Linked DNA regions of Drosophila melanogaster. The protein of the gene in region 4 interacts with the protein of the main gene of each other region in a pairwise test. Each region holds a gene or a part of one and is shown on either strand. Other genes may lie near its edges. The genes, in order: CG8230, Rcd7, CG30393 and jbug.

The links.
Region 1: the proteins of jbug (region 4) and CG8230 interact in a two-hybrid assay, tested with the Drosophila melanogaster proteins (one large-scale study listed by BioGRID).
Region 2: the proteins of jbug (region 4) and Rcd7 interact in a two-hybrid assay, tested with the Drosophila melanogaster proteins (one large-scale study listed by BioGRID).
Region 3: the proteins of jbug (region 4) and CG30393 interact in a two-hybrid assay, tested with the Drosophila melanogaster proteins (one large-scale study listed by BioGRID).

Annotation. Positions count from the first base shown.
Region 1 is NT_033778.4:8,942,369-8,951,045, forward strand, and holds CG8230 (uncharacterized protein), read right to left. Parts: upstream 4,977-8,677; 5' UTR 4,904-4,976; coding exon 4,761-4,903; intron 4,682-4,760; coding exon 3,496-4,681; intron 3,440-3,495; coding exon 2,942-3,439; intron 2,883-2,941; coding exon 2,760-2,882; intron 2,688-2,759; coding exon 2,538-2,687; 3' UTR 1,930-2,537; downstream 1-1,929. Other genes in the region: CG33199 (uncharacterized protein), read right to left, coding at 6,385-6,573, 8,338-8,388; CG8229 (uncharacterized protein), read right to left, coding at 7,212-8,219.
Region 2 is NT_037436.4:19,543,144-19,551,112, reverse strand, and holds Rcd7 (reduction in Cnn dots 7), read right to left. Parts: upstream 6,004-7,969; 5' UTR 5,933-6,003; coding exon of another isoform or gene 5,831-5,932; 5' UTR 5,805-5,830; coding exon of another isoform or gene 5,593-5,804; 5' UTR 5,564-5,592; intron 5,510-5,563; exon of another isoform or gene 5,431-5,509; 5' UTR 5,430-5,430; coding exon 5,149-5,429; intron 4,981-5,148; coding exon 4,397-4,980; intron 4,341-4,396; coding exon 4,012-4,340; 3' UTR 3,996-4,011; coding exon of another isoform or gene 3,884-3,995; 3' UTR 3,820-3,883; downstream 1-3,819. Other genes in the region: CG46435 (uncharacterized protein), read right to left, coding at 5,831-5,932; Ltn1 (listerin E3 ubiquitin protein ligase 1), read left to right, coding at 42-1,083, 1,142-2,449, 2,504-2,736, 2,798-2,981, 3,039-3,314, 3,382-3,816, 3,884-3,995, 5,593-5,804 and 3 more; CG46434 (uncharacterized protein), read left to right, coding at 7,043-7,933.
Region 3 is NT_033778.4:21,264,673-21,271,899, forward strand, and holds CG30393 (uncharacterized protein), read right to left. Parts: upstream 2,908-7,227; 5' UTR 2,844-2,907; coding exon 1,779-2,843; 3' UTR 1,692-1,778; downstream 1-1,691. Other genes in the region: Rgk3 (Rad, Gem/Kir family member 3), read left to right, coding at 6,089-6,242; CG30391 (uncharacterized protein), read right to left, coding at 557-1,573.
Region 4 is NT_033778.4:22,732,287-22,740,864, forward strand, and holds the start of jbug (jitterbug), read right to left. Parts: upstream 4,760-8,578; 5' UTR 4,556-4,759; coding exon 4,319-4,555; intron 1,911-4,318; coding exon 1,260-1,910; intron 1,020-1,259; coding exon 714-1,019; intron 433-713; coding exon 1-432.

The DNA.
Region 1 (8,677 bases), about 14 Mb from region 4:
CTGCCGCTCCAGCTCCATTGGAGTGGTCGATCCCCTCCTGCAGAGCAGTGGCCTGGACAGTGGTCCAACAAAGTAATAGCCATCGGTGGTTAGCTTATGCCCATTCGCCGTTCCCGAGAAATAAGTTACAATGGGAATGGGGTTTCCTTAAGCCGTATCTAAAATACAGCATATTTAATATATATATACATATATAAATTAAAAAGCATAATTTTGTTGAAATATATAAGAAACTGAAAACTTTTTCATTGTTATTGGATTAAAATAACATTGGTCAATAATAACACCACGTTATTGCAATAAAATAGTCATATAAGGAAATAAAATTTTTAAAATTCAATGGAATGGCAAACAAATTTGAAGTAGAAAGCTATTTTTAGGCTGTTAAGCTATGAATGGAGTACATGTACAGCCGTTACTTTTACATTTATCTTAACCTATAAGATAGGTAGTCCTTATACATATTATTATTTTGTATTACTTTTGATAAAAGCGCAATTATATGCATTTACGCATTCATGAAATCCTAATACCATTTCAAGCTTTGCCTTTTGTATAAAGCAGCTTACTAAATTGGCGGCCATTTTGAAGAATGTTTCCAGTTAAGAGTGTGCACTAGTTGCTCATTTCCGACCTTTAACAACTGTATCGCGTTAAACCCAATCATTGTTATTACTTATTAAGTTGGTTTAACTAATTTGCGCTGAAATTTGCCCAACAAACCACAATTGGAGCGGGGAGTGGGAGGGGGTAGAGCGCCAATCAAGTGTGCGCATGCGCAACTCTTTTCGAGTTTTCTTTGCCACTTTTCGATATTCGTTTTTCGCAATGGCAGGCCGAGGGTTGCGAACTCGGCTAAGCTTCTGGCAAATTCTATCAATTGGGAAATTGGCAGCACAATACAAATGGCTAACAAAACGCGGCCCGAAGTCAATAAACCTTTTTAGCCAGCATGGAAAACTAATGGCAAAATGGGGGAAGGGGGGTCCAAAAGAAATTTGAAAAATTTTCGCCGTTTGTTGTGGGCTAAAGTGAATTAAAATGCAGCACGCCATGAAAAGCTCACAATAACAAATTTTCCGCCTTTCGGCGGCGATAAAACAAATGCAATTTTTATCGCAATACTAACCTGTGCGTTGTTATTTGTGTACTTGCTTATTTAAGACACGTACGCAGAGCTGACAAGAGTGCAGCAACAGCGACGAGACCACAACAAAACCTTCAGCGGATTGAGCCCCCATCCTCCAAGTCCAGCCCCCTTTACCGCCCAGCCGTTCAAGTCAACGAACCCCAATGTAAGCAGGCAGTAAAAGTCATCTCGTCGTTTTTCCCGCGGCTTTTTAGTCACATATTTAGCCGATGAAGCTGGTGGTGGGAAAAAAACGTAGCAGTAGTAATAAACAATAAACAAGGCAGCCAGCCCATCATCGTTGTTGTTGCAGCCGATAGTGCAAATATGCACAATGAAGTGCAAACAGCGAAGCCCGTATGCGTAGTGGAAATGATAAACGGGAGAAGAGGTGCTTAAGCATTGTTTACCCGGCGTATACGTAATAAAGGAAACTTCATTTGAAGCTTCCGTTTGGCGATATTTCTTTGGCGAAATATAATGAATACCCATTGGGATATGTGGATATTTAGCTTAAAATAAACTGACCAAATACGAACCCAATGAATCTTGAAGTAATATGACTAACCAATACTTCTCAACACTGAATTCTTTCCAAGAAGTGAACTTCGTTTTTAATGATAAATCCATTTCAAAAGACCAACTACTTTTTTCATAAAACACTGCCACGTTCCGATGACGAATTGCAAAGAAGATCTAATCACATTCTTGTTCTGATAAAAACCAACCCAAATAAATTTGGGCTTTCCGCAGATAACACTAAAGGCTGCCATAGACAGAAGAAAAAACACAAGAGCGTTAACTTTAGTTAATATATAGTTTATCGACGTTTTCAATTGCTAAATACAATACAATATATAATTACCATAGACTAAAATGTAAATATATTTTGCATATATTGTATATTCCGATTCTTTAATATGTATATATACTTTTTATTGGATTTGCTGCTTCCCATTGATTAGAACATCGATCTGTAGGCGTACGGAGCTTAACTTCCCTCTAAACATGCTCATTGCAGTCGGCTTGGCAAAATATGATCATGTTTCAAGGTTGCTATATTTTAACTTGAACAACAATTTCCGACCGGATTGCTTGTTAACATACACATTAGTATAAGCGTAGCTATGTCTATGTATTATCGTTAGTTCTCTCGTTTGCTTTGTCTCCTCTTGTCGTCAACGTTCGAGATGCGCATGCCTCTTATTTAGCGCAACATTTCTCTTGCTTTGTTTTGTTTTTGATACTGCATTTCGACATTTTGGGTTGGATCAAAAGGTAGGGCGTGGTATATGGCTTAAAGATCGGGTAATCCCGCACAGAAGACAAACGGAGAAGCATCGAAACATGGTGGAAACCAAAGCGGAGCCGGGTGTGTGCGTGAGAGGAAGGGATAGAGCAGTAAATATTAGCAGGCTATGTCCGTGGTCACGCTCTTGATGCTCTCCGAGCTGAAGTGCACGCAGCCGTACTTGCAGACCAACGTCCACACATATGGAATGAAGAACTCCTCGGGAGCGTCCTCCTCGACGTACTTAAACTTAAGATCCGGGAACTTCTGCAGGATAAACACAAAAAGAATAAGTGAGCCTGCGATTTGAGTGAGTAACTCATCGAGCGGATTACTTACTCTCAGTCGATCGCTGGACCACTGACTGGCACCTTTAGATATAACCTCGAGCACTTCATTGACCCCAAGCTCGCCTCTCTGCTCCTGGACACGCTGCAGACGCGAGGAGAAGAAACCGACAACCTGAAAACGAAGACAGCATGAGACACATCGCATAATCGGATCGGAACTAGTGCGCATACCATGTCTATGTTTTGGATGACATCCTGGAAGGCGTGGTGACTGCGGAAGCCCTCGAAGACGCTGCGCTTGTACAAAAGAGTGTACACCAAGTTGGGACAGTAGACCAACTGGTTTGTGAGGCAGGAGTTTAGGATTTCCAGCACCATGCGCAACACCTCCTCCAGCACGCTCAGATCTTGTAGCATGTCTTCCGGGGTCGTCGAGACGTTCACAAACACTGCGCTATCGGCCGGCTCCTTGAGCTGCGCATCCAGGCGCGTATGCTTCCGAGCGAGCGTTTCGAACAGCGAGACCAGTCGCTGTGCCACGTAAGGGTGTAGAGCGCGGAAGTGGCCGGACATGTTGGCCAGCGCCGCCAGGCAATTGGTGTGCAAGTACTTGTCGCGCATCTTCAGCATGTTGTACTGTATGGTGCGGATGACGATAAGGATTAGGATGCCGCCCAGCGATATCTCCGATATGGTGCGTTCCGTATACCATGTGATGTTTTTTAGCATCTACAGGGATGAGAAAGGATTAGTAATGCAACTATTAGCACGCACAGATGACCTACTATGGTGTGCACATTCTTGTTGAAGCCCTCGTCTTCACTCAGGATCAGCAGCACGATCAAGGACATGTAGATGTGATGTGAGTTGCTATCGGGGGCGTTGTACAGTGTCTGGAGGATGGGGATCACCAACTGCTCCAAGTCCTGTTGCTGCATGACGAACCGGTAGAAGCGCTCGTTGCGATGGAGCAGCAGATAGAGCAGCAGCGTGGCCTGGTCGATGGTAACGATGGTACACAATGTCTCATATACCGCCGAGAAGTCGATCTGGAAGGAGACAGCTCCCTGTTTTGGTGAATCCTTTGAATCGGCGCAACTGAAAAGGCTAGTCCGATAGGCGTTATCCTGTGCCGTGCAGTGGTTAGTCAGTATCAGGATCAGCAACAGGCTCTGGTTGGCCAGTGGGTAGTGGGTACGGAATCGCTGCGAGAGCTCTCCACCGCCGGCTGCTTGGCCCGCTTTCAGTATGTCTGGCTGCTTACGGAACGTGAAGATGGAAAGCAGCGACTCCGCGATGCCAAAGACAAAGGATCCAGCAGAGCTGGACCCAAACATGGTGTGCGGCACCTCCACAATACGCGCCACAAAATGCAGCAGTGCCGACATCAGCACGTTTGCGTGCTGACACTTGAAGACCGTCCGGAACACGATGGACTTGTCCGTGGGCTGTTGGGCAAACAGATGCACTGACAGCAGGGTGATCAGCATGTTAACGGCCTCTAGGTGCAGGTGGTAGGTGAACTCCTTGACGGGAATCACGACGATTAGGTTCACCAGGGCATCGATGAAGGTCTCAAACTTAGATCCGTCCACAATCACTGGAACCGCAGCCGCCGCCGACTGTTCGGTGGCCTCCATGGCAATGGTGGCGCTCTCCGCCGGCGTCTGTTGCTGCTGCTCCAATGCCGCTTGCAGCAGCTCTGCATTCGGCATAGCCTCAAAGTGCTGCAGCAGCTGGAACTCAGAGCCCGTCTCGTTGATGTACTTGACCAGGCTGCGGATGATGAAGAGCGCGTTGAAGGTCTGCCAGACGTGCATGTTGCTTTCCTGGTCCGACAGCGACAGCAGCTCGCTGGTCTTCTCCAGGAACACGGTCACCAGGGAGCCAAAGTTGCCCGTCTTCAGGTTATTGCCGATGAACGACTGGCACAGCGCCTCTAGCCGGCTGTCCAGGTTGAGCTGGTCCTGACTGAAACACACACCATTTCAAACCGCCCGAGATTAGCCCTGCTGACGTTGTTGCTCCACTCCTGTTCCACTCCACTCACCTGTTCTCCGGCAGCACAATGTTGTAGTTGAGCAGCCCGTTCCAGAAGGCCTCGTCATCGTGGGCGATGTGCTGGCGGCCCACGAAGCGCTGGAGCCACTGGTTGGACCCCAGGTCGGCCGTCCTGCTGACGTTGATGCCCATTCCGCAGTCGAAAGAGTGCTGTTGGCCGGCCAATGGTTATATTGGTGGCACGTCACTTGATCATTGAGCGGGGGGGTGAGGTGCTTACCCTTCCAGTGTGACCCTCGCTCAGCGCTGCGGAAATCCGTGCAGCTGTGGTGCCGCCGCTGCGCAATACTTTTGTCACATGTGGCGCAAAATTCAAATGCGGATTTTTGAAGCTGAAACTAAATTTTTTGAACCTTCGGATGTTGAAACACGTTTATGTGCTGTCCATATAAATGTCCTAAAAATGTAATTCAAGACATTAACGCCTCTACAATGAAATGCAATTGCTAAAGCAATTCTTCGGAAACTGTCCTTGGCACTTTATTATTTTAGAAGTGATAAAGAAATTAAAGAATTTTAGGCGAACCATATATTATATATTTTTAGATAATATGTTGGCTTATTAATATTAATATTATTAATAACCACAACATTATTTTTTGGGAATTAAAGTATTTATTTGCATAAACAAGAAAAAAGAAACTATTCAATAGATTGGGGATTTACAGCGAACTTACGGATGGTGGATAAGCTATTTTAACGTAAATATAACTTTTCAAGGGTATAGAGTATCTAGGCCTTGACAGCCGAAAGTTTATGTTATGCTGTTGATTCTTTTAAAGTACTTAGTTTTCACGCAAATCATCAACGAGTCACTAACCCGAGGAACAAATAATTATTTTTTATATTAGACTAGGAACTATAGGAAAATGTTAAAAATGTTTTATTCATAACCTCTAGGTGCTGGCTTAATATTCATATGTGCTTTAGCATGCATGTTTTAACGGAAACTAGAAATAAAAATCAATATTTTCGAATTGAATATAATGCATTTATTTGAATACGGAACTAGAACTAGTTTGTTTCTTGGATACTGACACAGCCTGCTCGGCGATCTGCAGTCCAACGAAGTCATTATTGTTTTATACCTCCCTACTTAGTCGTTTCTCTGGTTTGCAAATAACTTGTAAATAAATATACGTATATAATAGACTTGTTTACACATAAAATAAATATTACTAAAACGGGCAACAAAAGAGTATAGGAAAATTTGGGATTCCCGCAAGCTCAGCGAATCTTCTCCTCCATCGCTCCTTCGTTCAGTTTGTCTGCCGATGGGCTTTTTTCATACACGATTTATCACAAATTTATTCCTTTTAGTTGGCGACGCATGGTGTGCATGTGTAAACAAGAAAATATATCTATATATGCGCACAGATCCTCGCCTCCGATCAGTTAGTTTATCGAACAGAATATTACAAAACAAGCCTCCATGTCCGAGTTCCGCTTGGGTCTGTGGTGAGTGGGTGACTTAACTTAGGCAAATATACACGATGATGGCGGATGATGAAAATATCGAATGTGTGACCTCAGGACATGGCGCTCTGGCTCCTCATCGCCGCTTCAACCGTTGGCGTTGGCATCGCTCTAATCTTTCTGGCTATAGCTCCATTCTAGAGCTTGCGCAGGCCCTGGTGCTTCTGCTTCTTGGCCAGCAGTTGCTTAAGGCTGAACGAGGACAGCGCGATGCCGAAGAGCGCCAGCATGGTGGCAGAGCGGGTCACCACACGGTTGGGCGACGACGAGCTGGTGGTGAAGCCATGGCTGCAGTGCGTCGTGGCCTGTGTGGACAACGTCGGCGCCTGCGGGAGATAAGATAGGGAGACAAATTTAGTTTTTCGCTCGTTTTATATATATCAATCCAAACAAACAATAAACTTGGCCCACTGCCCGACGGCCCCCGCCCACACAGGCAACTACGCAGCAGAAACAATTTACGCCGGCAGTTGGCAACTAGGTTCAAGTGCCCCGGCCGTCCACACGAATGCGATTACCCCACATGGTCGCACGATTATTGAACTGATTGCAAAGGGTCGATGTAATGCCATATTATCGTGACTGACATCACTATCGCAATCACTGTCACAGCGCTTAGATGACGTTCAACTGCATTATCAGTCAGTCTCTGCAGCTCAACAGCTAATCGCGGCTTGAAACAGATCTCCGCGTGACGCAGTTGCCACGACCTCCTTTCCAAAGTTCACTTCCACTGATAGCACGCTCTCTTGTCGGCAGCGCTATCTCTCCTGTCCACTTGAACATGCTCTAGACGCGTGCCGCGAATTAGTAATCCACAATTTGAGTTGCCAAAAAAAAAAAAAAACATAGCGTAACGGACTTGTTTATAAATAAACGAACTTGAATTCTTATCCGGAGGTTTCATGCATTATTTCATATGCAAATTTATTTCAAATACTTGAGTAAGCTAAATGCCAGCCTATTACGTCCGTGGTGTCGTAAGTTTCGCTTCTGTGGTGGTTTCCAAATGCTCGATCAAGTGCATTACATCCTGTGTGCGAATGCCCCCCCTGCTGGTGGTTCCCTTGGCCAGTCGCTTAGGGCGTCTCCCTACGCCACGTAGCGCGGGTTTGGCTTCTGTGGAATGGCGTTTAATGGCGTCTAGAAACAAGCCGTTCATTCCCGTGTTTAACTCCGGAACACTGATAATAATATTGACGGCAGGCGGCGTTGACGGTGGTGACTGACCTTGCGGCTGGGTGGTTGCTTTCTTGGGCGGACTGCTGAAGGGAGACCCCTTAGATTTGATGCTAGGAGACATCCTCACACTTGCCTTCACACAAGCGGGTAGTAATGGTATTTCAGCTTTGCCTTGCCAGCTTTGGGACGTAGCTCCCTTCAGATGAGCCACATGTTCCTTGGCTTTGGTGTCCTCAGTTTGTACTGCTTTTGCCTTGGGCGGACTTATTAATCTGTCGGGTAAGACGACAGTTGAAGGTACTCCCAGCTCTGATTTCAATGCTTGTGGGGGTTCCTTGCATACGGTACTGTTCTCCTCCAGAAAGCTTAAGTCGGGAAGCTCCAGTTGTGGGCAGGGTTTTTCCTCTGAAGGCGAGTGCAGATTTGGCATGGAACTGGAACTCACATTTGTCTTAAGGGGGGTTTCTGTGGCAGAAGTCAATTGCTGCAGCAGTTCCAATATAAATTCGTCATCATTTGGAGGAGGTTTGGACGTTAAGGCCGCAGGGTGAGAAGGTAGCGTAGCAGCAGGAGATTCAAAAAGTTCAGATTGTGGAGCAGTGATGGGAAGTGCTGCCTCCGAGTTCAGATCTTCATCAGAGGAGACCTCATCGTTGTGTGGCCACAAACAGCTCCTGGACTCGCACTTCAGCAGCTGCTCCTCGAGATTAATGTAAAAGTAGCGCAGCTTGTGATTCCTGCCTTCACTCTGGCACTCCAGACACTCGTCTCCCGGCTGCAGTCGCTGCATTCTCAACGACGATTGTGGTGGTCCTTGGTTTGCCCGGCCGAAAAACTCAGAGGTTTCCCCCAGAATGCGCATGCTGTTTCTGCCGTTTGGCTGCCTGGTTTAATGTGCGTGTGCTCACCTGACCGAAGGTTAAACGGAAAGCGTACAGGCCGAGATTGCTTGTTTTCATGGTCCGTTCCAGTTCCAAATCGAGCAAATCGGGACCTGCAACAGTAGTAGACACGGTATCCGGTTATTCGAGCTTACATAACATCAATTGATTTTTCCCCGACTGCGTGCGCTTTGCTCTTGTTCGCTCATTGCTGGCGTTCTTTATCACTTACGTTTCGTTTGGCAATGGGAACTTTAGTGCTCGGCGCTCTCTGATTAACCGCGATTGCAGGTGCAGCCGATTAAACCAGCAACGTTGCTAAAATTTGGCGAGCAAATGAAAACCAAGAAAACTAAACGATCTAGAA
Region 2 (7,969 bases), on a different chromosome or scaffold from region 4:
TACTATAAGTGAATTCCAATAATAAAGTTTAATATTTGTAGGTTCGTTCCACTGAACATTCGCAAGACACTTCTCCCCAAACTTTCGTCTTTGCTCCAAAATGGTTTCAATCGCAACGCCCAGGCCATCTGTCCCAATCTGCTGCCATTTTTGTCGAAAGTTACACAAGCATCCCTTCAAGACCTGGATATCTACGATTTCTATCAGCGCTTCTTTGACGACATGAAGCTGGCAGTCACTAAGAAATTCGATCCTCCGCTTTCCAAATCCGATTGTATTGTGATACATAATGCATATTTTGAGTGCCTACGCTTCTTGATGCAGCAGATTAACAACAACAAACAGCGAGAGCAGAAGGAGGAGGAATTTTCCTTTAGCCTACTCGATAACAACGTACTTGAACCCATTGCCTGGCTGCTCAAAAGCGATAGCACGCATGTAAAAATTTTCTTCCAGCACAGTTCAGCCCTGGTGGCCTTCTGGGATCGTCAGATTAATAATAGATTGGATAATGGTGACCTTTATGCCAAATTGCTGAACAAGTTCTGGATACGCATCTTTGAGCTGGTCACACAAGACCTATCGGCCGAGGAGGTGAATGAGCAACTGCTCGGACATGTCTTGCTTTTAGTGCAGGATCTGCATATGGCTAATCCTAGCCTGGAGTCGCCGAGTGTGAAGTTTGTCGAGGGGCCAAACGAAAAGATCGAGAAGAGCGAACCCACAACACCAGTTAAAAAGGCTCAAGAAGCTGCTGCTTTTATACAAAAGGAATTGAAGCAGTTGGTTATAAAGTTAGTGCGCATATGCCTGGATAAGGCCAACAAAGGCAGTGGGAGTGGTACTTCGAGCTCGCGTTACATCGAACAAATTCGAACGCTTACAAAAATGTTTAACGATGCCGCGTTCTACAAAAGTTTAACTGATGATGGAGACCTTGCGTCGGCGTTAAATAAATTTGTGTCACTGCTAGGTCAACTAAGTTGTCAGGCCTGTGAATCTGTGGTGGAGATCGTGTTTGAAATCCTGCCGCTGCTAGAGACTGGAAAACGCTTTGAATATATTGAAAACACTCTCATGAAGGTAGTTACCAATTTTAAAGTGTATAAAAAAAATATTAAATTATTATTATTCTTTACAGCTTCCACAACATGGCGTGCAAAATCTTTTGCTGCATCGTCTACTATCATATCCCCTATGCGCCGAGGCCGCCGTGAGGCAAATGCTAAGTGGTCCGGAAACTTGTGAAATGATTGCGCGGATAGCTGAGGAGGTTGTTGTAGACAATGATCGGGAGAAGCTGAACTTGCTTCACAAGTGTTTTTTCCAAACTGACACGGGAGACATACTCATTAATGCTAAAACTGTGGATAAAATACTGCTGTCCATGTGCGGACCCTTGGAGCAACCGGTTGTCGATGACGCGGTGGAAGTGTGTGGCAGTTTTATTGCCCAGATAATGCCTGTGATTTGCAGCAACAATAACTCTTCGCTGCACGTGCGCCAACACATCTTCCTCAAACTGTTCAAATTTAGTTTGGAGCACCGACCAGAGGATTATCTGTCGGAGGATACTCTGTGGGAAATTACCACTTGCTGGCAGGATGGACTTTCTAGCAAAGATATCGAAATCGATGATGACATGCTAAAGTGTTGCGCAGGGATTGTTGAGGAATTGGCAAATTCAGCAGAACTTAAAGCGGATACTTTGGATGGAATGGCAGAGGCGATGGCCAAGTTTGTTATTTGCTCAACGGAAAATATTGAAGATGAGTATAAGCGCTTGGAGCGAATCGATGAAACATTAACTGCTCTTCTGGAAACGCCCCTAAAAACGACTGACAAGGTTCAACAGTTTGAGAACCATTGTGTACTCCTAGAAGCCTTGCACGGATCTGTGACTGCGGGAGTTCCGTTCGAAAATGCTTGCCTCTCAAGAAATGAAATACTACCATTGCTTCAACGTTCCACACTCAACTTTTCTACAATCTACAAGCTCGTCTATCAATTCCCACCACCTCAAGACACCAACGACCCAGAGGATGAGTTGACCGAGGACTATTGTGATCCAAATGCTGATGTGCTCAAAAAATGGAACGAACCCTTAATTGCAGAGCTTTTACAGTGCATTCGAGTGGCTGGAACAGCAGAATGCTGGCTGGAAATGTCAGTCTTGCAATCGTCGACAGAGGAGTTAGTGTTGATCCTTTCGGAGAAAGTGCAAAGCTTTATGGGCAACAGCAGCGATCTGGTTGCAATAGTAAAGGAGCGTCTTCAGCAAGCGGCTGTGCAGCAGTCCAGCGTAATTGACTGTCGTCTTTTAAGTTACCTTAGATTTTGCCCACAGTATGCGGCTTTCGAAGAGAGTGCCTCCATTTTGCTACATGAAGATCTGTCAGAAAATCTAGTGACGCAGGGAGCGCTCAAGACCTATGTAATAGCTCTACAGGTAGGAATTCTAAAAGAAATCCAGGAACACTTAATAATGCCTTGTGTCTTACAGTTTCTCTTACCGAAGCTTTCTCAAAAAGCGATCACTCTTAGTTCTGCGATTATGGGAACAGAACCGCCTGAAATTTGGGTTAAGGCAGCAGTGTTTCATGCTCTACTATTAAACAATTTTGAAGGCGATGTGAATGAGCAAACGGATCGCAATATAATTGTATCAGCCGTACAGTTTATGACCAGCATAGGGGAAAGGCAAGCCAGCCAGAAGGATTTACTCCATTATAATGTGTAAGACAATATAATTTTCATAAAATGTATATGATTCAAAACCCAAGTTTGTATTTTTCAGAGAAATTCAAAGGCAACCCTACGAATCAGTTATAAATACAGTGGAGTTCATAAAGCTTTTAACTGAAGTTTTAAAACGTTTTCCATACGAATTGAGTATAAAGAACTGGGACGCTATTCGCATTGGCCTTAGTTCTTGGGTGCTTTCTGTTTCAAAATCTATAGCACAATACCAAGACCCAAAGGTAGGCTTTATAAATAAATTTCTTTCATAATTAATAATAAATTATCTTTAATTGAAGACTTCGCTTTTTATTGTGGCTGTTTACGAATTGTTTGCCGCCCTTATTGATTTTATACGCTCCGAGAAGCAAAAGAGTTCCACGGAATTACTCAAAAACATGATCGACGAATGGGACTCTTTGTTTGCCAAGGAAGTCAATTTAGTGCTCTTTAAGTCATATTACCTATTGACCCACGAGGTTAGTGTGGATCCAGGATTTCAGGCATGCTATGAGGCCTTACTAGAACAAATAACACCGGTCATAGAGCGACTGGACTACAGCTTTGTGTACTCGGTAATCAAGTGAAATATTTTGTTGTTTTTCTATGGCTAATAACTTCAAAAACCTTTTTACACTTCAGTTCTGCAAGTCAAATAGTAACATCACCTTGGACCACCTCTGCAATTTCCTGTTCAAGCAGCTTTATAGTGTCCAGCACTCAGTTCGATTAAGTGCTGTACACTCGCTTCGCCAATTAACGCCACACTTTGTGGCGGACGACATAGAGCTGAATGAGAAACAAAGTGAGAGTCTAGACGCCAGCACAACGATTTGCAAGTGGCACTTCCTCAATCGCTTTGAGGACTATCTAACACGCTACGATGCACTGATAACTAAATACCTGGAAGAGTTCACGTTCAAGCTATCAGAGCTGGATGATCTCGAACCCATAGACAGACACAATGCACTGAGTTACCTTTTCTTATGGGATTGTATTATCAATGCTTGCGCTAAGTCTCCAGTTGCATTGCGCGCTGTTTACACCAATTGGCTGAATGATAACAAATACGAAGAGGTTGGAAACGATACATTAAATTTACTAATAATTTTAAATTTACACTTTCAATTTCTTTGCTCCACAGAATTTCCTTCACTTCCTTTTCCGCGCAATGCCCGTGGACATACTTAAGAACCACGGTGCCAAGGTCCACAGCAACGGCGTTTACAAAGAGCTGACCTGGTCTCAGCAGAAGGGTAAGCTGAACATTACTTAGATTATTGTTTCCTCCGATATATCCGTATTGAGAACGTCGGGCAAGTAGTCCTCCCCATATCCATAGTCGTCATATTCAGCGGCTCCGTGCTCGACATCGTTCATCATTTCCTCTGCATCCGCCTCATCGGATACAGAAATGAAATCTGACAAGGGCACAAACTGTTCGGGATCGTTCTCTGCCATCATCTGTCGTTTTACAGGTATTTGCTGAGGTGTCAAGTAAATGTTTAAGTTTGATATGAACTTGTTGACCCAAACGGTTAGGTTGTTGGCCAATATCCTCTGATACTCTTGCAAATTACTTGTCGTATAGAATTCTTGATCTTTTGATGATTTCAATTAGTTAATTTTTGAAGTGTCCCAGTTAGATTCAACTTACCTGTAAATTCTCGAAGTCTCTCAAGAATTACGCAACATAGAGGGGAGTTCTCGTCAACAATAAACTGATCGTTGAGTAGAAAGTCCTTCATTTCCTCGAACAGTACGCAAATTATCTTTTGCATCTGCTTGCGCTGGCGCAAAATGATTCGTTTTTTTAGACCCTTGCATCGTCGCTTTTGGACACGCTTCGCTGCCTTGCGCTGACGCATCTCCTCCTCCATGTATTCCAGCGCCTTCTCCATTGACATGGCTTCTACCGGAGGTTTGGGTTTCATCTGGTTCTCTAGAGCCGCTATATGACGAGGCGAGAGGTAGTCCTTAAAGAAATTGTATGTGTCACTCACTCGCATTGGGTGAGGATCGGCAAGTCGTTCAACCCGTGCTGTACATTGGTTAACGTAGATCTTTTTGGTGTAGTAGCGCGCCTGTTTGGCCAACTGGGGTGAGGAGAAGTCCTTCTTGGGTGTAGCTAGAAAACATATGTGTTCCTCGCGGGACAACACGTCCCGGTCGATGATTATTTGTCCCGTGTGTTGGCAGGGCACATAGCAAGGATGGTAGCGGGGACAGACACAGATGAACCTTCAGGCCAATGTATATATTGTATTGGTTTTAATCGAATCGTTTATTGTTTATAGTAAAAAAGGAAAGTTAAAAGTCTGATTTAATTTATGAAAAAACATTCCAAAAGCCAAAGCAATTCCGAAAATATGCATGTATTGGATATGGAAAAACTTGATACTTACTTACCTGTACAATGCTTGCGTCTCATTGGGGGAAAACTTAACTAAGCGGCGAATGCGTTTGGCACGAGTCTCGCGCACATGAACCATGGCCAGGCGAGCGTTTAACTCGTCCGCTACGGTTGGTCCATCCTGCTGAAACTCCTCAGGCTTGTGCTCCTTGCGCGTATCGCATTGCGTCTTCAGGAAGTTTATGGCTTCGGCCACCGAAGTCTCGCCCTCAAGTTGAATGCGCTTTGGCTGCGGCATCTCGGAGGGTATATCCTTGAAGTTTATTGGGTTTTCCATGCTTTCAAATAGAACGGAAATACAAAAAAAAAAAAATAAGAAGCGGATCAATACACAGAACGGTAGGAGACTAATGATTTAAAGTGAACTGTTTTCTATATAAACATAATTTGACTACTCGCAGCCTGGCTTGCCTTGTTACATTTCTTGATCCATTTTGCAGATCGACATCTACCCCTGGAGCGATATGCCTGCCACTTGTACACGGAGGTGCTCCGCAAGCTGCCTGCCGTGGTGCGCAGGTGGTGGAACGCCACTCAGTCCAGGCAGAAGAACTTCATAGACAACCTGACCACAAACTACGTGAGTTCTTTGATTTGCAGCGAGGAGCTCAAAGCGATCGCCAATCGCAAGGAGAAGCACGAGAATATGCAGGTAAGCGGATGTGTCCTTTCAAGTCTTTATTCTTGCTCTGGGGTGCTTAGCCGAAGGGAAAAAACCACGGTGATGCTAATCAGCAGTATGATAATGACAATAACGCGAAATATCTCAAGAGGCACCATATCTCTGCTAGAAGGGATATAAGTGTGCTTTCGCTATATATTTAAATTTCCGTTGAATAAAAAAACTTTGGATATTTTGTAAATCCCAAACAATCATAGTCTACTGAACTATGTGACTAAAGTTGACATTTCTCTATTCTAGGTTACCGTTCATTCCTCCACCCGCGAAGTGCTAGCGGTCTACGCCATCGATGAGGCACGCATGGAACTTGTAATAACGCTGGCTCCCAATTATCCACTGGGAGCTGTTAAGGTCGAGTGCGGCAAGCAGATCGGCGGACGTGCTTCCTCCCGAAATGTCGGCATGCAGTTGACCATCTTCCTGACACACCAGGTATATTGATATTGATACATTTCGTATGTTACTCGATGTCCGCTGAATAATAATATTAAAATTGTCTTATGCAGAATGGCACCATATATGACGGCCTAACTATGTGGAAAAACAACTTAGACAAAAAATTCGAGGGCGTTGAAGAGTGCTACGTGTGCTATACTGTTATCCACCAGGAGACTTGCCAGCTACCCAAACTAACGTGTAAAACGTGCAAGAAGAAATTCCACGGACCTTGTTTGGTAAGACTCCTCCAAGCTGCTTTTTTTTTCTCCGATCTAACGAAATGATTACATTTTTTTTAGTATAAATGGTTTACCACAAGCAGCAAGTCCACCTGTCCCATTTGCCGCAACGTCTTCTAGATGTGTGTATATATCATTAACAATTTTAGCAACACGTATTGAGCAAAAGGCACAACCAAACCATTCGATATAGGAAATAGTTTCAGGTCTCACAAATTGTAAATCAGCAATATTAATAAATCTTACAATGTTTTAATGTTCTTGAATATATATATAGTGCAGGGATTGAAATTATTTAATTGTAAAAACTAAATAGTGCATTAAAATTAAAGAAAAATTAAAAGTTTGAAACAAAGTATGTCGTGGAAGGGTAATCCATAGCAAATAACAAGTTTGTTTTACTAAAACAGTTCTCAAACGATATCAGTACTCACAACAACACTGTACAACACAATACAATTTTACAATATATTTAATGCTGTCAGTGGATAATCAAGAACTTTTTATATTATGGCTACAAGAATAAAAGTAATGGGTCAGTGCCCATATTGTAATCGTCATGTGGCCAAAGACTTAAGACCTATCAACATGCTGTCCGCACAGGATGCCAAAAGGATTTCTAAACTGGTAAACGAAGTGCAGCCACCACTTCATTTGGAATCCGAGGAGGAGACGCAAGATCAGGAGGAAAAAGTACAAGGTAATATAACCAAAAAAGAGCGAGTTTCGATGAGAAAGGGAAGGAACATTTCTGTAAGGAAGTTAATAGCCAAAAAAACTATAAAAGCTCCGCTCTCCCAGAGTAAATCGAAGATAGATACTAGGAACAGAAAATCAAGTTTTACGAAGAGGAAGAAAGAAATACTTGGGATGTATGAACCTAAAAAAATCGAATTAAAAAAACCAACGCGGATGTCAAACAGAAGGAGCCGAATTCAAGACGTTTTAGATTTCGAGGAGAAAATGGAAGAAGATTCTTGCCAACAGGAGCATTTAAACAATGATAAAAGTTCACCAGAAAACTTGGAAGAATGCTCGTACAACCCGAATGAATTGAATAAAAGTCATAGTTTACTGGAGGAATTGGTTATAGATAAAGATCCCTGCGCCCAGGAGGAGCTTAAAGATAGTTACAATTCACAGGATAAATTGGGAGAAAAGGATGTCCCGAAGGGATCTGCGAAGGAGGATAAATCAAAAAATGTTGACGCGATCACTGGATGTGTATTGGGGTTGGTAGAGAAGGAGTTTGGGCGTGATCCGGCCTGCAGTGAATCATCCGAGTCTTTGAAGGGAAATGCCGAGGTCATTGTGGCCATGCTGACCGAGGAGCAGGATATGATGCGGAAGATTAAAAAGCGGTCCTCGCAGTGTTCTTGGTGGGAGAACGAAGAGCCGCCTGCTAAAAAGCGCAAATATTAGTGCGAGACCAATATATTTATATTTTGTTGCCTTTTC
Region 3 (7,227 bases), 1.5 Mb from region 4:
TTACTATAAATACGTCGTCTTTTAGCCCATTTGGTAGTCACGCACATGCAGATTGACATTTCAACAATATTATAATGTGTTTTTTAATTCCCAAAAGGACCATTTGATTCGCAAATATAATTGATTGATTTTATGAAATGGCACTTAGAGCATCAATAAAAATATTACTCTGAATTGAATTTATTATATTTGTTTGTTAGCTTTGCAGTTTACAGATTATAATGTTCAATCACGAATCACATTTTTAATTTTAAAGCCAACTTGAAAAAACTTCAATGGGTTCGTCTGACAACAAATTTTGAAGTGTCTCACTTGATTGAAGTGAAAACTTAAGCTCACTTTTAATCGAGTGTGCTCAGCTGAAAGTATCTCCGAATTGAGGTGCATAATCACTTTGAAGTTTACTTGGTAAACAACTCCCATTTGCGTGCCACAAATATTGAAGGGATTGAGTTAACTGGGTATAACTACATTTCCGCCGGCATTTCCGAGAAACGGAGAACGCAATCACGTGCACTTGGCCCAATTAATTGATCGATTACAATCCGAGTTGACCTCATTGGTTGGTGGCGTCGTGCCTTTTTTCGGGGGAAATGCTAAGGGCGCACATCAGCTGATCCCTTAGGGTGCGTTCATGTTGCTGATTGGATACGGATACGGCTTCTTCCACGACAGAAGCCTCCCGACTTAGACTCCTGGTCGTCCTCGCGCTGCCAATGGACATTTTCCGTTCCACTGAGCCGCTTTCCCGCTTCGCAGTCTGTGCCTCGTTTTGGGCCATTCTCTCAAACCGCCTGGCACATCGCTTCTTCTTGGCATGACTGAGATATGCGTCGGACTGATCCTTGATCTTCTGATGGTGTTCGTACGGCGGACACATCGGTGGCGGCCGCATGCATTTGCAGAAGCTTATGTTGTGCAGAAAGTATTCGGCAAAGTCCTCGTTGGGCTCCAATAGCTTCATGTAGCACTCCATTCGGTACAGATCCAAGGGATCCAACAGACGCGCCGCGCAATCCAGCTGAAGGTGTCCACTGTAGAAGTAGGCGAACAGCTCCTCCACCAGGTCGATAAAGAACTGAATGGGCTTGTGGAAGGCATCGCCCAGAATGAAGGGGCTCTCCTCGCTCCTATTCAACTTGGCACATTCACGGCGAAAGACAAGCACATACGGACGCAGGCTTTGGATGGCCCAACACTGATTCTTGTTTGAACTGGCTATCACCTGATAGTGGATGTAGAACTTGTTGATGATCGCATCATCCGATTCGATATCATAGATCTGCGGACATGTGCAGCTGGTGTCCAGCTGCATGGTGATCTTGTAGCGCTGGATTAGCTGGTGCAGTGTTTCTGCCGCTATCCTCTGGAGCTCTAGCTCCTTCCTATAGCTGTCAAAGTAACTCCGATACTTCTCCTCGATCACCAGCAGAATTTTGATCACTCTCTTTTCTACAGCATCGGAACTTCTAAGATTTCCAATCGCAAAATTGGCCATGCTCGCGGTCACCGTGCCTCTCGACATAAAGCTCTGGCTCACCATCATTTGGTACAGCCGATCGCGCATTTCCATTTTCGGTTGTGTGTGTTTTAGTGTATTTCCCTGCAAAAACAAGGACAACTTCTGATGAATGACATTTAAGTCGACGATGATGGATACCCCTATACCAGATGATGAATCCTAACAAACTGGAAATCAGTAGGCAATTTATTAAATTCTATACACCTCATATAAAATAAACGTAACTGCTTACAAAATTTAAAAACTTATCATACTTTCAGAGAATTTGTGGGTTCACCGACCATCTGATTACTGAATCCTTTACAGTTAGCTCGTGTCGGTTGTCGGGCAGAGGAGTATGGTAATCTTCCTTAGTAATACTTATTATAGACCTCTCACTGCGACGTTGGTGTCTAGAGATCCTCTTCAGTTCCCTTTCGTTGTCCTGGTCTAATTCCTGACCGGTGCTTATGCCAGACATCTCACTGGGACGTTGGAGTCTAACTATGGACTTCTTTCGATCCAGTAAATTGCTCTCGGCCTCGGCCATCTTTTCGCATCGCCTGGCACACCGCTTCTTCTTGGCCTGATTGACAAAGGTGGCGTTAAAGTCCTCTTTCACCTGCGGATACTCGTGGGCAGGACAACGGCGCGGCATACGCAGGCACTTGCAGAAGCTCATGTTGTACTTGAAGTAATTTGCGAAATCCTCATTGGGTTCCAATAGCTTCTGATAGTACTCGATGCTGTTCAAGTCCAAGGGATCCAACATGTGGGCAGCGCAGTCGAACTGTACGTGTCCACTGTAGAAGTAGGCGAAGAGCTCCTCCACCAAGTCGATGAAGAACTTGATTGGCTTGTGGAAAGCGTCACCCATGATGAAGGGACTATCCTCGTTCAGATTCAACTTGGCGCACTCTCGACGAAAGAGGAGAACATAGGGGCGCATGTTGTGGATGACCCAACCCTGGTTATTGTTGGAACAGGCTATCACCTGGTAGTAGATGTAGTATTTGTTAATGATCGCATCATCCGATTCGATCTCATAGATCTGCGGACACGTGCAGCTCGTGTCCACCTTCGTGTTGATCCTGTAACGTTGGGTCAGCTGATTCAAGGTCAGTGCCGCCATCTTCTGCAGTTCCAGCTCCTTCTTGAGATCCTCAAAGTAACTGCAGAACATCTCTTCGATGGCCACCAGAATCTTGGTCACCGAGCTCTCCAAACCTTCGTTGCAATCCAGATTCAAGATCGCAAACTCGGCATCACTCTCGGTGACCGTGACGTGCGACATGACGCTCTGTTGGGGTTTCAATTGCTGCAGCTGAGCGGTTGTTTCCATGATTAACTAGTGTGTATATATATACCTCCTTCTCTAATAACGACGAACCCGTCCGACTTATTCGACAATCTCAACTGAATCTTGACTGAAAAGGAAAGGCCTATTTTAGGAAGCTGGATTTATTTGTATTTACCATCACCGCAACTGAAATAATACAGAGAAAAACTGAAGTCGCTGACGTTTCCAATTCAATTGATTCCGTCAGCCAGCCGTCCGAGGAGCCTTGAATTCGGAGGAGCACTTGCAGTGCGGCGTGTGAATTGAGTTATATCGTGGCGAAATTCAATTTCATCGGACTGATGTGATGGTTGTCTCGCACAAAAGACTTTCGCCACGTGGCGGCATACGCTGCGTATGAGTTTTCCTGGCTGGTTTGGTGAGGGGGGGGGGGGTGTAGCTTCCAGTTCGCAGCTTCTGGTGCTGAATATCCCTCGCTGGTGAATCCCCTGCTTTTCTGCTTCTGCTCGCGACATTATTAGTAAGCAAACGAGGCAACAAAAAGCAGCCGTACAACCATGCAACGTGCTAAAAATGTCGTTCTCATCGCCTGAGATGCGCCCCGAGCTGGTAATTTATATAGAAAAAGTTTCCAAGACACACGCACACACACACATATGGTTTCCCGCTTTTTGGGGGCGGCATGTTCTGGCTGGGCGTGGCCGTAATGAGTTCGCAGCTAAGCAAGTGAGAAGTAAGTGCTTGGTGCTACCGACTATTGAATACCTGGTTTCTAAAAATCATTGCCTACATTTTGGCGTATGATTGCACATATACATAACTCCTCTCTAAACGAAATAGATTTCAAATTTTGTTAAAAAACTATATGCTTAAAATAGTAAGTACTACAAACACGTACTGGTTTTGCCAAGCAAGTTAGTAAAGGGTATTAAAAACGAGTTAGGAATGCTTTAACGACTTTTGTTATAAGGAAGCGGGGAGTAAGGATACAATCGGCAAGCAGCAAGGAAGTAAACTTGAAGTGCTCAGTGCCTTGATGTTCCAATGTCGATAAGTCGCTAGCACTTTTCATCTGCAGACGCAAAAGTTTAATGAGAAGATGCCACAACAGCAGCCAACACGATGAAGTCGCATTGTAATGCTATTTTCGTTTTGCACGGCATTCTGTGGCCCAAAGTCAGATATATCCCATGCAAATACTAGACAAAAACCAACAAATAGCCAAACCAAATAAATAAGACAGCCATGAATGGGGAAATATTTTGCGACTTTCGACACAAAAGTTCATCGGAGGCAAGGAAATTGCAGCCTTGTGTGCAATCAAAACTTTAAGCAGTGACACAATAAATTTGCAAGAAAAATATAGGATGTATGTACATTTTACAAAACTAAATAAATGAAAAATATTGATATATTTGGTAAGATATCACTAAATTTAAAGACGCCAACCTTACGAATAACTCATATGTCTTATCAATTTAAAAGTCAAATAGTATGTGTCTGGGAAATGTGAAATTAATTTCGAATTTTAATTTAATCCCCCGACGCCCGTAAAACGGGGCGCATTAAGAAAATAAATTATGTGCGCTGCCCCAGAGGACTAATTGGGGATTAAGCGGGTACAAATTGAAGACTCCGCCGCAGGACATGCCGCGGAGCACCATGGCATGGTCAATGAACTGGGAAGCCAGGAAGCAATTAATTTCTGAAGCGAGAAGCATCGACCATCTGACCACTGCATCCGGATGGATCAGATGTGGGTGTCCGTCCGTATGGTCGTAATATTTGATTAAGCCGGCAAAGTAGACCATGCAAACATTTGTCGAAAAAAGAAGAGCAATTACTGGTCACGAGAGCCCATGAAATGCCAGGATAAATGCGTACATACGTATACAGTCCGGTTCGTAGTTATATGTCTAAACTCGTATGTGTGTGTGTGTGCGCCATAAAAAGCGCAAAAGAGCGGCCACTAAATAAACAAGGAACGTTTACACTGACAGCTCGCCTAATGACCGCCGCCCCGCCCCCTTGGCCACACTTCCTGCGGATTTGGCGGCTTTGCCGGTCCCTCCAACTGACCAGAAACTCAACGTGGCCCAAATCCCTGGCCACTTGACAGCCGACGCCACGTAGCAAGCGCTTCCGGCGTGCCGTTTTCCAGCGATGAGAAAACCTTGTGCGGGAACAGTGGCGGAATCAGCGTGGCTTTCAGGGGATTAAGGTTCCCGATCAGCAACAAATTCAGGCCAAAAACCTTTACGGTCATAACTCAATCAAACATATAGTAGATTTTTTTAAAGCAAACTGGTTTCATTTATTTTAAAGATGTTCCATGTAGAAGGCCTAATTTTAAACATAATTTTAAATTTAATTAAGAAATCGTATCAAAGGCTTAAAGCCATAAGTTGAATACCTATACGTATATATAACATACTCCCCGCAAAACCAAACCCATTAATTAGAATCAAGGACATAAGCGGCACAACTTAATAACTTCGAACTGCCAACTAATTGGTCCCCAACACCCAAATCATATTGTTCGCCCTCGCCCCTGTTTTTTTTTGTTTTTTTTTTTTTGGATTTTTGGGCCAAGGAAAACGGAAGTGGCTAACAAAGTTGGACGTTTTGCATGCGGCTATGGCCACAGCTATAAATATATATCGCCCTCACACTGGACCAAAGAAACTGAACAAGAAGCTTACATTGCCGGAACAGTGGTGAAATTAGTTTTCGCCCCGTCGTCAGCTAGCAGTCAGGCAGGCAGCCAGCCAGGCTTCCAATGGAGCACCGCAGAGCTGAGGCGGCTTGACAGGCACTTGGACGTGGCATGAAGGATTTGGAACAGGGACACGTCCTCCTGCTCCAACCTACCCGCCAATGCCTGAGCAGGAAACTTTTGCGGCGGGCGAAACAAGCATTGGCGCTGATTGCATTTGGAGTGGCCGAGGCGTTTAACCTTGACATTTAGGTGGATATCCCTACTCTAGTTCCCCTCAAAGAGGATCGCGCAGGAGCCCTTCTAGCGAGGACCAGGGCCAGGACAAGCCGATAAATTATGCCATTGACGGTGGCCAAGTGAGATGGGCGTCTGGGGCGTCTGTTACGCCAAAGGACAAACAAATGCAATTTGATTTGTGTGAGAAATGCAATTTAATTTCTCAGTCAATCGGCAAGGGCAGTCCATAAATCACAGCGATTGCCTTGGGCCGCGTTTGATAGATAGCTATACATAGCTATACATAGTTGCCCGCTCTAAAGACACGCCTCCTCCTCCTTTCCACTTGCAGGTCCGCCAGAAGACCAAGGCGCAGCAGCAGCAGCAGCAACAGCAGCACACGCTCCAGGAGACCCGGAGCTACTGCACCAGTGAGCCCCGGCTGAGCGAGACGGAGACGCCTCCGCAGCGCCGCAAGCTATCGCAGCGGAGGCCACAGACGCACGGTGAGTAAATTACGCCCGGAGATGAGCATCTACAATTGCGGTGAATTAAATAGATACCAAGTGAATGCCAAAGAAATGAAAATGCAGTTGATGCTAAGCTGGTAAACTATAACATTGCAGTTCATAGGATTACCTGGTAACTTTGTAGATAAGAAGCTTAGCTTGGTTCACTGAAATGTAGTAGTAGTAGTAGTATAAAACAAACCTCAAAAAGATTTAAAAAGTTTGATAGTTATGCTCCTTTAGCACTTTTTCATCCTCTTATTACTTCCTCAAATTACTTACTTAGGATATTCAAGCTACTATTATGCCTTAAAACCAAAAATGACAAGCACTTAGTTGTTAGCTTGAATTTAAAACTAAAATGTATCACTCTACTCGCCCAAGCTTTTAAACCACTTCCATTAGTAGCAGCACAGTTCACTAGAATTTCGACCACACTTGTACATAAGTTAGTTAAAGTTGTGGCTTTTAATGGCCGGATGGAGCCATCAAAGCGGCGAAACAACGGCAACAAATTAGCCAAGTGCTAAGCCTGATCTTTTATGTGGCATAAACTAAGCTCTCAGCCAAATTGCTCGCAGCACGAGAGCGGCGGCAATGTAAAATTGACCATTAGGTCCTGGTGTGCAAAAGGAGCATGGAGCATCCTGCAGCAGTGCAGGTCCTTAAGGCGAGGTGTTGAAGCTGAAACAGAGCATATGGTTGTTTCATTCGTCCCTTTGTTAAGTACCTTTCACTAATGTTGATTCAATTAACGTGGGCGTTCGATGAACTTAACCATTGACCCAGTTTACCCGGGCAGCAAGTGAGCTACATACGTGTGTGGCACTTCTCACTGTCAACTCGACATGGGGAAACGGAAACCATTAAAGCTGTCCAAATGTCAGCCAGCTGGAGCAGGGAATACTGAATCAATAATGCAGCACGTTTAACCGAAGGGTTTCTCGCATATTTATCTACGTTCGGGTTTTTGCGTGCCAAT
Region 4 (8,578 bases):
GGTGATGGCTATCTCCCAGATACCTGCCTCGTCCGGCTTGAATATGGCACTGTGTCCCTCGTCGATCTTCTTCAGCGGGCAGTTGTGCGAGATGCCCGTGGGCGAGACCGCCGTGACCAGGATGTCCTCCGTCTTGGGCGCACCGGTGGCATTGACCAGCACCTCGACGAGACTGCCCAAGGCACAGGGCGCCATTCCCGGCGGAGCCACCTGCAGCAAGCGCGGCAGGGCTCGGAAGAAGTGTCCGCCCAGACTGTCCTCGCCGATCTCCACCACAATCTCATGCATCCCATAGCGCTCCGGCACAAAGACTCCTTCGCCGTGGGCATTGAGCCGCACGGGCTGTCCCGGCTGTCCGGACGGAGGAACCACGTGGCAGCGTACTGAGCTGAGGCTTATGTCCCGGGACATTACGTCGATGCGGAAGTGGGTCTGCGTGTGAATCGGACATTAAAAATTTACGCTCTGCACCTGGCAGACTGCAGTGTTCATATACACACCCACAGTGATGGGTAAAATAATTGAGCTGACTAGTAAAAATATTTGTTTAATTTAAAAATTGGGAGCTATCTTTCCAGTTATATTGTAAGTAAACACCACTGATCGGATTTGTGTTAAGTAATAATATATATTTTTTTCTAGTCATGAGTGCCCTATTATTTTGCCACCATCTGTACATTCATATATATATTGTATATATATGCTTCACTCACCGGTTCGCCCACCCGACCGGATGTGCTCTCCAGGTAGACGCTGACCAGGTCGGACAGCGGAGGCCTCGGCGGCACCCACTGCAGGTGGGCCGCGTAGGCCATGATGCCCAGGTGCTCCACTTCCGGGTTGGCCATGTCCTTGGCCGTCAGGATGGGCTGCACGCCCAGCCGGGCGCCCGCGTCCACCGCCTTCCGAATGTTGTTCTCGTAGTGGAAGGGATCGGTGCTGAGCTTTTCCGGTGCGGGCGCCGAGCCACCCAGTCCCTTAATAATTTCGCACATAACGCGTCCATCGTTCCAGTCGGTCTGCGAAATGAAAGTGCCATTATGGGATACGATTATTATTGGTTGGAAAAATACGAGAATTAATAAGTATTTATGTTCTTTTTAATGCAATTGTTGCAGATGTACATTAACATTTGTTCAACGGATTAAAAGGTCATATTTAAATGCGGTGAAAAAGCGTGTTTTATTGTAGAGCCATAAGGATTTATTAAAAAAGAAGGCTGCTTTATAACTGATATGTGATTATGGATATTAACATACCGTAAAGTTCTTCACAGGGTCCTTGACCTGCGTATTCACCCATCGCATGGTGGCATTGTAACCAGGACCACCGGGCTTCATGAAGTACGAGAGGTACGTCATGCCGGACAGCTCATCCAACCAGGGCGAGGCGAGGTACTCCGGTTCCAGAACCTTGGGCACTCCAAACTCGCGCTGAGCCAAGTCCATGGCCTGGGTGCAGTTGCGCACACTCTGGCTGGGATCGAGACTTCGCCAGTGCGGGAACAAGCCCGGCTGGCAGTAGTCCAGGAGCGCCGCCAAATTGACGCCACTATTCCAATCGGTGGTCAGATTGGTGATCCTGCAGTCCGGCAGAGCGGCCTGCAGCCAGGCCAGCATCAGTTTGCGCGGCGGGAACTTGCTCCTTCCGATCTGGTAGCGCACGATAAGGGACCAGATCAAGCCCAGGATCAGCTTTATGTTCCCATTCACAATGTCCACGTTGCCGATGTTCACCAGCTTGATGTGATCCGCCTCGATGGACTTCAGCGCCGTGGTGGCGTTCTCCAAATAATGATGCTGGTTGGCGGGTCGGCGATTCCACGAGGGTTTCAGTGGACGCGTCTGCAGATTCTCCACAAGGGCGCACAGACAAGTGCCATCGCAGAAATCGGTGGCCCAGTCATGAACCTGAGAGACAATGGGAATTTGCATTAACTTCTCCGTATCATTAGAAATAGTAATGGGAAAGTTTGTGGCAAATAATTAGATTACTGCTGGAATACATTCCGTTTAGCAACGCAAGTAATGTGGCAAGTAAGAGATGGGAGTGCATTCCATAATAGGTTTATTATTATAATTGCATTTAATATGATATTAGCTTTTTACGGTCTAATGGATTTGCAAAATGTACTTTTATTAAGTGGGTAGTTTTTACTTTTCCATTCTATATAGATTTAATTTTAAAAAGCATGCTAACCCAAAACAAAAAAATGTTCGAAAGAAGAGATTTTTTATCTTTATTTAATGACTCTAGCAGCATTTTCTTTATAGCTATGCATTAGTTGAGATTACTAGACTTGCTGTAGTACATATGTACATAGTTCCCAATGGAGATTAGCAAATGTGCGAAACGCCTACCATGTCTGCGCAAATGCAAGAAGGTCGCTTGACTGGCAGCCTTCCTAATGAGCAATCAACGCCCCTTCCGCAAACTGGTGGCCCACTTTGCAAGGTAAACCGCTTGCTCGGAACTTGGAGCATGGAGCTCAGATCTCGGAACATGGCACATGGAGCTCAAGAATGGGCTTGGGAACCCAACAGGTTCGCTGCTCCGAACTGAGCGGCTTTCTCCGCCCGGGTGCAACCAATTGTGCGCGATTTTAAGCATTTGACATAAAGCTTTTTATCTGGCTGCTGTCGGCATTCGATTCGACTGGGGGGAACTCCACTCCACTCCACTCAACTCAACTCAACAAATAAAATACGACAAAAAACTGGAGAACTGGGTACGGAGACAATCGCGTGTCTGTTGCTGTTTGTTTGTGCCTAGGAAAATATTCATTGGATGCCATAAAAATCTCACATCGCACATATGTAGTTGCTCCATGGCTCTCTAACAAGCTGCCGCAGGTTGTTATTTGTCGCTGCTGTTATTCCGCCCTTAAATTTTTAAGATTCCTCTGATTTTACGATATGAACTCGAGTTTCGTTGGGAGTTGCGTTTTCACCTAACAAAATATATATGTACTTTTATTTGCATATAAATTTTTGCTATATGTCAGAAAATGTCTAGTCATTCTATTACGACAGTTCCATGGTGGCAATCATTTTGAGATAATTTAATTCTACCTGCCGCAACTGTTGTTGCACTGCATTAAAACGTTAAGGTCATACAATGCAGTCACTTTGAATATTTCTCTCCGTGTATCTGCTCCCATCAAAGCATTTCCCTTTTGTTTGCACATGCATTTGTCATACAAAGTGGATTGCAATATTATTTGTCGCATACGCATGAACTAGAATTGTAAACAGCGTAAAAAACGCAAACTTGGATGACTCGTTTTGGTTTGGTGACCCAAATAGACGCCAGCCAGGTCACAATTAGCGCTGTTTACTAAGGGGTCTTCAGCCTTGCTCATCACATATGTACACATACACGTATGTATGTACGTTTTTGGCCCAACCGAAAAAGTAAAAAAAAAAAAATAAAACCCCGAATTTTATACTCGAAACCGGGCAAGATCGCGCACAAAAGCTTTAGCTTGTTTTGTGTATTGTAACTGCTAATGGGAACTCGATGCGTTGGCCTTGGCATTCAACCGGCCAAATATGGTCGGTTCAGGTCGTTTCAGTGCGGTGCGTGTGAGAAAATCCGTCGAAGCGAGTGACAGTTCAAAAGTCCCTGGACAAATGAAATGCATTGTTGGCAGTACACATAAGTCCGTGTGAGTACTCTTGGCATCATTGTTAATGTAATTGTCGTTGCTGCCATTGGAGTTCAAGATCTGCGTGGGCGATTGAGCCGAGTTTTATGAGCCCGGCCTTTTAGGGAAACTCGCGGAAGAGCTCGAAGCCCCAGTTTATGATGGCGATTTATACTTTTACGTGTTCTGTCACCAGTCAATGCGCTCGTTATGCGATTATATTTAGCTTAAATGGGATCAGTATATGAACTTCAAAAACCTTGCTTTTAAAGTGCTTCTTAATTGCGATTTATAATAATCGAAAATTTTATTTGTATAGAGTTCAATTAAAAAGTGTTCATTATTTCACATATTCATATTTTGTTTTCTATCCCTAATTACACTTCATTAAGCAGTGCCACTTTTTCTATGTGCAACTGCCTTCGCAAATCATTTCCTGGCTAAAATTCCAGATCTAAACGTTTTGTATTTCACTCATCGATTCTCAGGCCCTGCTTCATCAATAGTTCTACGAATTCCACATTCAACGGAGCTAGCCCATTGATTGGGTAATTGTTTTTTGCGCTTGATCGATCAGATATTCAGTCGGCGGCAGGCATTACTCAGTCGGTTAGAAAGTGTTGCATAATCGGAATGTAAATATATCTACAATATATCTATGGCTTAACTCACCTGCATTCCCGTTTCACGCAAATGCTCGTTGACCCAGTTGCGGAATGTGTTCGCCTGGATCTCTACCCAGAGGTCCTCGTTGCCCCGTATGTTCATACCCTTGGCGGCGGTGCCCTCGGGACTCCGGGCCACCAGACCGGCATGGGTGATCTTCTGCGTTTCGGTGGTTCCATCGGAGTTGTGCTTGAGCAGCCCCGCATGCGTCACCTTGGCGCCTTTTATGTCCTTGACGTCCATCTTCACTGCACGTCACTGCACTTCACCTGCGACTCGCACATATGTATGTACAGATGTAACTCGCGTTCGAAACACTGATCGGGAGAAATGGATAGATCGCGATGAGATACTTCTGATCGCTGTAAGTTGTAGCTATGCTATTCAGTTTCGGTTTCAGTATCAGTTTTAGTTTCGTTTGCACGCGCTCGCGGCCCGAAGCGAACTGGAACTGCGCTTAGCTGGTCGATCTGGGCGGCTCTGCTCTCTTGGCCTGGCCAAAACAAACGATGACGTCATGGCCAAAGCTCAAAGCTCCAGAGAGCAGCAGGAGAATTTATAAAAAAAAATGCGGGGGGTTTCGCCAGCGAATGTGTGTGTGCGAATATCTCTGAATCTGGCTATAAAGCAAAACTGGTTTCGTCGCTTCCAAGCCAAAACGAAGCGAGCGAAAAGGAAAATTGAATACAAAAATAACAAAAAGGCGAAAATAATACAAAAAAAAAGAGTCTGTAAAATAACAGAAATCACTTAGTTTGGAATTTCGCCGCGGCAACAGCAGGCAAAAAGCGAGCAGATCTGGTGGGCAGTACTGTGGATGCCAGTGGTTGTCGTGAATGTGGCTGTTTGGGCAAGTCTTTCACAAACGTTAGAAGGCCAACATGTGTGTAAACGTGGGAGCCACCCCAGAAGATAATGGACGTAATCACAGCAATGAAATCTGCCACGATCAATTGTCAATTGTTCGCCCGTTTTCACTTGTCGCACTTTTACCCAAACAATTTGTGCAAACCGAAAGTTGGCCGTCTGAATGGCCTTTTTGGCATTTTTCCACACGGCGTTGCGAAGACAACGAGGCGTCAAATGACCGTCTAACCAACTTAATTATAGGAAATCCGGTTGCGTTTCTAAACAAGTCAATTGCCACAGATCGCATATATCATAGCACGTCCAGTTCTGAGCGAGGCTGGTATGCAGATTTTGAATACGAATACGAATACTATTTATTGACAAACACTTTTCGGAGAGGTAAACAACTCTGGGATGACATCACTCATCACTTGCTCGGCACAGCGATGAGTTGTGGCTTGAGCACTTTTTTAACGCCCCGACAGGAGAATACAGTGCGAGAAAATCATGCTGACTAATATTACAAAAGACAGTTGACGTAGCTAATCTAGTAACTCTTCAATGGAATTCCTCTTAAAACATCAATTAACTACTTAAATACACCGCTTTGCCGCAAACTAATTTGTACCTTAATTTATTTTAAGCAGAGATGTCATTGTTGTGTTTTTGTCTCAGTGACAAAACTGCGTGGCTTGGATGAAATAAATTAACCAGCGGGGACAGCAAAAAGTGGAAATTAATGAATTGCTCCTCGGACTTATGAGTGATCCCGTGGCTGATGTCATTTACTGACACTTGACATTGGCAATGAACCTAATTAGTTGCACTCGCCAGCGGAGTGGAATGAGCCCCACTACTCGGCGAGTTCTATAGATTCAGCTGGCGGCAAGGTCATGGGAATGGTCATGATAATGGTATTGGTGGTGCTATTGGCCAAGGGGAATGGGAATGGTAATGGTAATGGGAATGACCAATCCGCTTCTTAGTTTACTCAGTTGGTCAGCAGGTAAATATCGAAAGTGTTGTCGTGACTTTAAATGGCAGAAGAGGGCCAGCTAGCACACCTAGTTTAGGGCATTACGTAATGGCCGAAATTTTCGACTTTGAATGGGCAAAAGTGTACGTATCGTAGGCTACAAATCGGTGTATCTATATCACAGAATGCGATGTGCACGTAGGTGTCTGGCATTTTTTACACTTTTCGATTTGTTTGCTGTCCGAATATACATTCGTATATACTTATTTCGCTTTTTGCCTTGCAAACCCACACGGCCAGCCAAATCTCGTAGTCGTCGTCATCGGGACAGCCACCCACATGGTTGGTTGGTTCAACGCCTCGTTCTAGACGTGGGTGCGATTTCAAGTTTGATTTGTGCCAAAACCGTGTACCAAATGGCCATTGATTTCTCAATGATTCTGTAGTGGCTGCCTAGCTACAACTCTGTTTGGATCCGAGCTGTGGGAATATATTTGGTTAGATGTTCTATGACAACGTCATTAACTTTGAAATATATGAGATTAACTGGAGTGGAGGTGAAGCCCATAATTATGTTGATGGATGGTTACGGAATTTACTACGAAAGGCTGTTCTAGAGATGAACCTCGAAAAATAAATGATGATTGAGTTATTTCATCAATTAGGTTTCTTAAACCCTTTTTTTTTTCAATATTCGATTTCTATTATAATAGTAACAGGCAGACTTAACTTTACTACTCAGTTGGACACAAGCCAATTGTTGCTTGGATTCCCTGCCAAAAGAATATAATACGATTTAAAAGTTTAATACTACATTGGCATCCTTTCCAAGATTATTATAAGTAGATTCAGTGCTATTTCCTTTTTAGACTAGGGGTGGGCTGTTTGTTTTGTCTGTTGGTATTACATATTCGACTTCCTGTTGGCCAAATGCGATTGTAACACTTGCCACGCCTTACAGTTAAATGATGGCCTATTAGCGCACGCTTCTATAGCGAGTAAGCGCTTATTTTTGGCATCATTTTTATGGCGGTTCGTCATAAATAGAAAACACTCCAAACGATGTGCTCACACATACGCACAGACATACATATGTACATATGTGTTCCCTGCTCTTTTTGAGGCACTGCCAAGTTTGTGTCTTCAGTCTTTTGATTAATGCCGTTAGGCGTCGCCAAAGCGCAGCCAAGCCAAACCTTCTTGGTTCGTATGAATGATTGTGTGTGTGTGTTCTTTTGTTTTTTAATTTTTGCTCATTACTCTGCCTCGTTTATTCGCCTAAAAGCCGCAGCAATTACAATTGAAAATGCCTTTTAGCCAGCACTTAAAACCAATCGAACAGCGCCAGCGGAAAAACCAGATTCAGATTCAGACGCGAGCCCAGACTCGGGCTCAGATTCAGATTCGCTTTCGGTTTTGGCTTTAGTTAAAGTTTTGTTTTTGTTTTCGCTTCCCCTCGCATTCGCCTATTATGCAATGGGCTAGGCGGCCAGATATCTGAATCTGAATATCTTATAACTGCGACTTTTGGTGTTTATGCTGGCGGCCAAGTCTGTTTTGTTGGTTTTTCTTCCGATTCACACGCCTCGAGGCCCGTTCACGTGTTTAGCACAAATTCCGCATGAAATTGTATGGATACATATATATACATATATATCCCCTCTAATTTAAGCAGCAACAGCTTAAAATTAGAACAACGCTCGGCACGCAAAGCGAAAAAAAAGAAAAACAGACTCAAAACCAAACACAAGGCGAACGGCGAGACACATGAAGATCCATGAAAACTATATGTAGTTAACTTTAACGTTAGACGACGGCATCAGAAGTTATTAAAAAGTCGGGGGGAGTAACACACACACAGCAAAGCACAAATAAAGCACAAATATGTGTGGGTATACACACATGTAGATGAGTGTTTGTTTCCCTTTTGGCACTTGTTGCTTACACTTCGGATTCGCCTGCGCGGGGTAAAAAAGCAAAAAAGCGTTTCAATTGAAAAAAACACGTCCAGCGCGCACGAGTTGCTCACAACGACTGAAATTGGCAGCAGAAATTAGACTTATTAGACTTTGGCCCGATCGGCCAAAAGCTCCGCTCCCCATTCGCTCTTCAGTGCACTGGAAGTCTCACGTTGGAATCCAGCTACGTCATCGTTTTTGGCCCGATCTCGGCTTGTTTTGCTTGCCCGCTTTGTTGGCGCTTTTGTTTTGGGCCCCCAATTCGCTCAGGTGCCACGTTTCCGCTTAGCAAAGCGGTTAGTTGGTTCTCGATTGGAGTGTTGGAGTGTCGGAGTGTTGGCCTAATGGACTCGACTGCTCAACCAGCTTGTTAATTGCAGGCGTCGGCAATCCGATGACCGTGTGGTTTCGGCCTCTGTAATTGAACAATTTTGCGGCTTTTCCTCAGATCCCATTGATTACGACATGCAGTTGCATTCGATC